Linked DNA regions of Alligator mississippiensis. The protein of the gene in region 1 interacts with the protein of each later gene in a biochemical or structural test. Links are inferred from orthologs where the notes say so. Each region holds a gene or a part of one and is shown on either strand. Other genes may lie near its edges. The genes, in order: MMP2 and TIMP4.

Region 1 (3,930 bases):
CATTGTTCATGTTTATATAAGGTACAGAGACATAGTCTGCATAAACATGAAGTGTTTTCAAAGGAATAGTTAAAGTAGAAGGTGCAATTCCTTACTAGATCTTGGGGGAAGCCATTCATTGTAACATCCAGGTAGCAGTAACTAGTTACTCTAGTTACTTATTTTCAATAAAAAACTGCAATTTCAGCTAAACATGTCATTCCAGGCAGTGGTGCTTTAAGAAAATAATGAAATATCATGCCTTGAGATAACATCACGAGACCTGGCAATACTATGCATGAGGTAATAAAGAGTGCCCGTGATTTGGCCATGTCTATAATAGAAGTTTGCACTGAGACAGCTACACAAAAGAGTAAAATCCCCAGTGTACACAAGACCTGAATTTCTTATGACTGTTAGGAGTTTTAGAAAGCAACTTATTTTTGTGAAATTGGCCTCATTCTCTACCATGCAATGTACAGAGTCAGGCAAGTACGTATCTGTCTGTCTTGCAAGACAACAGAATTATGCCAAGTGAGACAGCTCATTAAAGGTAATCCTTGCTTGAAAGATAAAGCGAAGCTGGAGTGACATCTCCAGGGTGCAAAATCCTGGCAGTGTATACAGAGACACTGAGTTGTCCATACACCAGTATCCCTCTCTCAGCCTAATGTACACAGAGGAGACAACTCTGTGTACTGCTGAATGGTGACAAAACCCCACGTGAGTTAAATAGGTAATCTCAAATGATTGTTGATAGTAGTTTTATAACAAGACTCATAATATATTCTGTGTGTCAGGGAGGGGAGAAAATGAATATGCATTTCCAATTAATCCTGCATTTATGTATCAGTGGTCTGAGTAGCCCAAGCAAAAATATAAAGGAGCATGCTTTGTCTTGTGGACTGGTACGTAGACTACTGCAAAATGTAGCCCCAAATGCTCATTAAAATGCAGTGTAGTATAATGGGATCATGTATGACCAAACAGGTTTTCAAAATTGTGGCACCCCCTCCCCCCCCCAACCTAAAAAATCCCTTAATGCAAATACCTAACCCATAGAAAAATCTGTACATTTGTTTGTTTTTATTTCACTTAATGTACATATAAGATCTTGTCATTAATCTTAGGTGACATTTTGCCCTGAGCCACACTTGTGAAAACAATCTAGAGTTTCCATGCATGAAAAGCAGACAGAATTTGGCCTCTTCCCTATTTCAGCTGCAGTGAATATCTATCTGTGGCTACCTTAAAATCACAGCAAGTAACATCTGGTAACTGCCCTTTTTCTCATGTTTCCACTGGTTTTCAGACCTCCTGGTAGCTGAGACTGCGCATCTGGATGTTTTAAACATACAAAGGAATTGCTAGAGCAGGCAAAAGAGAAAACGGTGCAGAGAGTTAAGATGTGCAGATAAGTAACTGGTGGACTGTGCAGCTAAAATAACTGGCAACCAGTGAGGGAAAAACTTTTTAAAGAGGGTAGTGCAAGCTAAGGCAGAATGAAGACTCATGTTATCTTTACCCCTTTTGGCTTCATTTTTAAAGTACTCTTGATCCAACAGCATATTTTTTACCAAACTTTAGCTGCACCGTCACCAATCATTAAGTTTCCTGGAGACAGCCCTCCTAAAACAGACAAAGAACTAGCAGTGGTAAGTGTTGGTTTTGTCTTTGCTTCAGATTTATATTGTTGTTCACCATAAGCAGATGTTTCTTTCTTGTTTCAGCTGAGGCTAGGAAATGACTGTAGTTTTCTCTCTCTAGAGTCTCTGGAAGGGAGAGCTAGCTAGCAAGGGTATCAGTTTTCAGATATAAAAGCTAGAGCCAAATAATGTTTCCCCTTTTAAAAAAATTTAAGCCAGCATGGAGAGGGCTTTTCTTTTCTCTTTGAACATACAAGAAAAGAATAATTTCATTAAACAGTTCTGACTTTTGTTGAAAGGTTTTAGTAGTAGTATTTAAAGCAAATAAAATGGAATAGAAAAATATGGAAAACACACAATTCTGAGATTCTTTTATAGTCTAAGCTCACACCACTTTTCAAAATGTTGTTTTCCGTGTTGTTTACCATGCATTGCATAAGCACGGCTTTGAGGGACAATTATATCTTAAAGCTGGATAGAGTTTCAGGAAACATAATGACTGGTTCTAACTTTGAAAGACCTTATCAAAGGTTTGATGAAAGATATTTTTCCTAACCCACATTCATTCTGGAACAAAAAAGTGACATTAGCAACTTATGGATGTATAGGATTTTATTCTAACCTTACTTTAGCCCTGTGTACGTTCATAAAAATGACATAATGAGAAAGTCGATTTTAGGGAAGATTGAGATGGATTATTCTTATTTTAGCATGCAAATTATAGACATTTCTCTTCTTCATCACTAACTCCATTTTAAGGAAGATTGAGATAAATTATCCTTGTTTTAACATGTAAATGATCAAAAAAATGGTCACTTCTTTTTTAGGAGATAGTATGCACACCAGGAAAATTTGCTAGGTTTAAGGGAGGGGTGGAGAGTTTCCAAAAGGAGGTGGAGATGTTGGCAAATGCAGGCAAACTGACCCAAAGGAGCAATTTCCACTTTCAAACCTTACCAAACAAACCACCAAAGGTTTTACTGACCTTGGCAACATGACAAGGGGGTCATATATTTCTAACGGTAGTTCAACTGTTCTTAAAATAATCTCTCCATTTTGTTAGATACACAATGAAGTTTTTATTCAATAACGGTAAACCACATCTACTCTTCTCATCTATATTTCATTCAATGAGCCTATTCATTGTTGTGTATATTCCAATGGAAAATCATGTACTACTTCAACATTTCAGTTCTTTGTCTCTCTTGTACTACTCCTGAGTAATGCTAGACTGCTCAGTCTCTTATGCACCCTGGGCCTGAGCAATGCCAAGGTTTAGAAGCAGAACTTAGACCAGCATTTTGCTGCTGGACTCCTTTCAGTCACAGGCTACATCAAAATTGCAGCTTCCCACAATTTTCCACAGAATCTGACAGATCTTTCAGAGCTTGGACCAAGATGTTGTTTGGAGAGATACAAAAACTCTCCTTCAGAACTCTGAAGATATAATAACTGTGTTCATCTCTGTTCTTCACAATGTGTCTCTATTTTAGAAAGTTTCAGATGCATTATTTTGATTTTATATTTTAGCAAATAAATATCTTACTGTGCCTCAGTTCTTATCCCTCAGCTGTGCACCATAGTCCCAAGACTGGAATACATGGCAGCAGATATAACCTGCCAGTTTAGATTTCAAGTAAGCTTTTACTTCCATACAACTCTAGTTATTAAGCCATGACACATATCTGGGAGATAAGGACAGAGGCAAAATTAAGATAGTCATATGTCAAAGGAAAAATCAGGATGATAATGTATTCTGGGCATTGGTATGCATAGAACATATTCTGAGACCATTTCACATAAAGCCAACAGCTCATAACCTGTCACTGATACAATGAACCTTACAGCAGGAAAGTAATATGAAGTTGCCGGGTAAAATAAATACAGTGATCTCTGCCGCCAAAAGCTACCTCAAACCAGGTTGATATTAAACTTCAGAAACTAAACAAAATTTAGTCTTGATAAGGGGAACATCTTCCAGGACTCCAAGATCTTGTTCAAAATCGTGCTTCAGAGGTGTGTATCTGCTTTGCTTCTATGATAGTTCTAAATCAGTTTCCCGGTGGTGGAACTGAGTACTGCATTTCATAACCATTTGCAGTCATTAATAATTCCTTGTTACTTTTTTGTAGTGAGAAGTTAACCAAAGTATCTTGGGTAAACTTGAGTTGTTATATTCTAACTACATGGACATTTCTGTTGCATTTTCAGTTGGTTAACAAGTTCATTACTTGTACCTACATTCAGTTGCACAGCTGCATTCAGGTCAGGGCCTTCAGTTTGAAGTTAATTTAGCAAGATCTTT
Region 2 (3,930 bases), on another chromosome or scaffold:
TTTTGTTATTACAAATATCTGGAATTATATAAACACTAAAATAAAATTATCTTTAACATTTAATAATATTTCAATCAAAACAGATTAAAAGTATTCTTGTGTGTGTATTTGATAAGGGATAAAATGTTCTGTGCCTTGGTTAGACAGTCTAGTAGAGAGTGGAAAGGGCTGACCACTAGGAGCTAACTAACTTCCTGGTTCAAATCCACCTGGCCCCAGCGTATAATAGTGTTGCAGAGAAGAACAGCATTCTCCAATGCCCTGCCCATAAAACTCCCCCAGTACATCTCCTTCCTCTTACATTGTGGGTGGAGGATAATGTAGAACAACCTTTGCTAAATTTGTCAGTAGAGACTTCCCCAGCCCACAGTGAATTCTTTACTGGTCTTTCCCTGCCACTTTGCAATGCTTATATGGTGTATCGTTGCTCTAGCAAACCAAACAGTCCTCTTTGCTTATAGAAATTATAGCATGTATATCTATATGGATATTTATTCAGTATATAAATGTATCTACTTACAGTACTTATAAAAGCAAATTCAAGTGGTAAACACCAAACAAAGGGCCCTTGTGTTCATGCTCCATTTAATATCAGTGGGACTGTGTGTGTTAGTAAGTGCTTGAGGATCAATATCAAATACAATGTAATTTTATTTTCTGCCCCTAATACTTAGTCATAACAAAGAAAAAGGGAGATCCCCTGTTTATAAAAGATATTTGTGGAAATGTGAACCTTGTAATTTCCCTTAACCTAATGGAATACTTTATGTAATAAGTATCTTGAGTTCTTTTTCTAATGCTGGATGTTTGTCAAATAAACAATATAAGTTGATTGTTGAAAAAAGTGGTGTTTGCAACAACTTTTTCAATGCAGAGGACAAATAGTGTAGTATAATAATTTTTAAGCAGTAAGTAACCTGAACTTTCCACACCTCAAATAACCCTAATCTGGGATGTTTGGTATAGGTAAATTAATAAAAGGATTGCTTAACAAAACCGGATTAAAAAAAACAATTTAACTGATGGCCATAAACAGAGCTTAGAGTCTGTCATGGCTACAAAGAATTTCTATCAGTGTATAAAAGCAATTAATCAGTATGCAGAAGGTATTGCCTACCCCATAGAGATGCTAATTTTGCGACACTTTGGAAACTCATGTTCTACATTTACTGTTCACACAGGATAGAAGCTAACCAGCCACAGCTTGAGCTAATGAAATCAAAGACTACAAAATGTCACTTTTTTTTATCCCCATGTTGTCTAATTTTGAGATCTTTAGTTTTTCTATATATTGATTTGAATATCATGAAACACAGCCATCTTAGGACTGGAAAGTGAAATGTAGTACAGAATTCCTGTGGCTAATCTGTCTATAGATAAAAAGGCCTATACTTACCTGCTAAAATTGTTGTTGCAAAATGGAAAAATACCCAAACCTTATTATAGTACATCACAAATCAACTGATTTAAATATATATCCTCACTGGATTTTACAGAGCTGTGGCAGCTAGTTATTCCTAAAACACACATACATAATTTCTGCTTAATATATTGTACCTACATATTTTATATATAATTTCCCATTCTATATATTTAACATAGCTGGAATTATTTGTCAGTGACAATATTTTTCCTGTTCACTTGGAAAGCTAATATAGAAGTTCTTTCTTGCATTTTAAAAAGTACTAATTTAATATAGCAGCTAACTCAACAACATATAGTCTAGAATATTTACTGAAAAAGGAAGGGAAACAGAACAGCTACTAACAAATATCAGATACATTTTAAAATGCATTATCTTATATACCTGTCTCTTTAATTAAGAACACTCTGCTTTTAAACCTTTTCAGTGAATAATCTACTTTGTTTAATGTATTCCCTAGAGAGTAGAACAAAAAATATCACAGCACTTAGTTTAGTTACAATTACTTTCTTGCTGACAACGTTAAAAGTATAGTTGTTATGACTCACCTAAAGCGGAATCACAGATTAGTTGCTGTGGATGTGCAGGGGCACAGCTGCATGCCTCTACGAGCTCCTGAATTCTGAGCGTCAGAAGAAGCAGCACTGAAAACAACAAGGTACTGAGTACAGAGTTCATGCTGCCTTAACCACGTTTAACTGGCCAGCTAAAGAAAATATTCTCTTACTGGTGATCTTACATCTAAATTTCCTAGTGTCTGTCTGATTCCTTCCTTGTGAAGTTCGATTTCAACAGACTTAGATGGTTAGAAAAGCCCTCTAATGCTCAGACCGAGTATATGCTAATGATAACTGACTTCTAATTTCCTGGACATAGGACCCTCTTATTTATGGCTGTGACACTAACTAGTAACCCCGCCTTCCTTTAAGGAAAAAGCACATCATTGGTGAAAATACTGTATGACAGGCTTATTGTACCAAAAGAGATGTTACCTTAGTGGGTTGCATCACAATGTTGTTGTTATGAGTCAGTGTGACTATTAATAATCAAAAGCTTTGAAAAAATCTTTTTTCATATTTCTGCAATTGATTTCTGCTCTTTAGGAGAATAGAGATTAATAAAATAATCTGATAAACTTCATGCCAATGTTAATAAAGAAAAAGTTCTGCCACCTTCCCTATCATGGCCAACGTAAACAACATATGTAAAAGTAATCCTAATATCCTTGTTTCAGCTCTGGTTACATTCACAGCCCTGGATCTTCCCCTGTTCCTCCCTACATTTTCTTGAAATAACTTCCCTGTTTTCAGGTTGTATAGAACTTTATGAATAAAGAGAAATGTTTCAATGCCATGCATGTAAACTTTGAACAATTGGTCACTACAAGCATTACCAATTTAAAAATAAAAGCAGAAATATAAGCCTTTTTTTTTTCTACTTCAGCATACACTTAATTTGAAATAACAACAAAAATATCCCTGTGATAAATGTTCTGGGTGGACCCCTTATTCTGCCGTCCTGATTTTACGAATCTTAATCAACAGATATGCCCTTTCTGCTAGCTACTACGAGTCCATAGGCTCCTTGGACTCAGTAGGCACATAGAAAAAATAGTTTAATTCCAGAAATGAAGAGCCCTCATCTCTTACCTACAAACCTTTTACTCCTATAATCTGCTGGATTTTTTTCACAGCCTGTATACGTGAATTTCTACTGCCCTTATAATAGATGGTTTCTCATGCGAACAGCACATTAAGGTCTGAGCAGAGAGGATGGTGATTTTTATACATTTGAGAGGAACCTGTATATAAGCTACAGGGGTGTAGTTTGTTGCTGTGTTGGTCTGAGGACATAGGCAGACAAGGTTCTTTGGGTGAATCTGATATCTTTTATTAGACCAACTTAAATAGTTGGCAAAAAATTTTTAGCAAGCTTTCAGGTTTAAAAACCCTTCGTCAGGCTGAGGAAGTCTCTGCAGTTGGTGTGTGCTCTTCCTGGATGGAATGAATAGTAAAGAAGCCAGAGGCGGGTCTGGTATGCATGCAAGACAGGCAGTCAGTGAAGAAGTAAATTGAGAAGTCAGTGGGTGAGAGAGGAAAAAAAGGGGGATGAATATAGCAGTTAAATAGTGGAGAGGTACCTGGGGAGTCAGATGTCATGCAGGTTATAATGTGTCATAAATCCAAGGTCTATAGTCCATGATTTTTTTGTATCCAGGAGATTGATGAAGTGAAGTTCATAGGCTTGTCTCTAGGAAGTATTTTGTAAGTTTCCTTTGAGGATTAGAACTGCGAGATGGGAGAGAGAGTGGTTTTCTTGCGAGAAATGAGCCCCTGCAGTTATTCTTGTCTTTGATAGATTTCCAGTGTGCATTCATTCTGGTGCGCAGTTGTTGTTTGGTGTCTCCTTCGTATTTTCCATCAGAGCATTTGGTGCATTGGATGAGATTTTACATTTCTGGAGGTGCAGCTGTAAGATGCAGGGATGCCGATGTCTCTGTTGTGGGG

What was found.
Region 2: the proteins of MMP2 (region 1) and TIMP4 form a complex in vitro, tested with the Homo sapiens proteins (2 studies listed by BioGRID). The link is inferred for Alligator mississippiensis from reciprocal best matches to the Homo sapiens genes MMP2 and TIMP4.

The regions. Positions count from the first base shown.
Region 1 is NC_081833.1:46,114,513-46,118,442, reverse strand, and holds the start of MMP2 (72 kDa type IV collagenase), read left to right. Parts: upstream 1-1,299; 5' UTR 1,300-1,481; coding exon 1,482-1,634; intron 1,635-3,930.
Region 2 is NC_081835.1:31,310,987-31,314,916, reverse strand, and holds the start of TIMP4 (metalloproteinase inhibitor 4), read right to left. Parts: upstream 2,293-3,930; 5' UTR 2,102-2,292; coding exon 1,972-2,101; intron 1-1,971. UniProt on the Homo sapiens protein: Complexes with metalloproteinases (such as collagenases) and irreversibly inactivates them by binding to their catalytic zinc cofactor. Known to act on MMP-1, MMP-2, MMP-3, MMP-7 and MMP-9.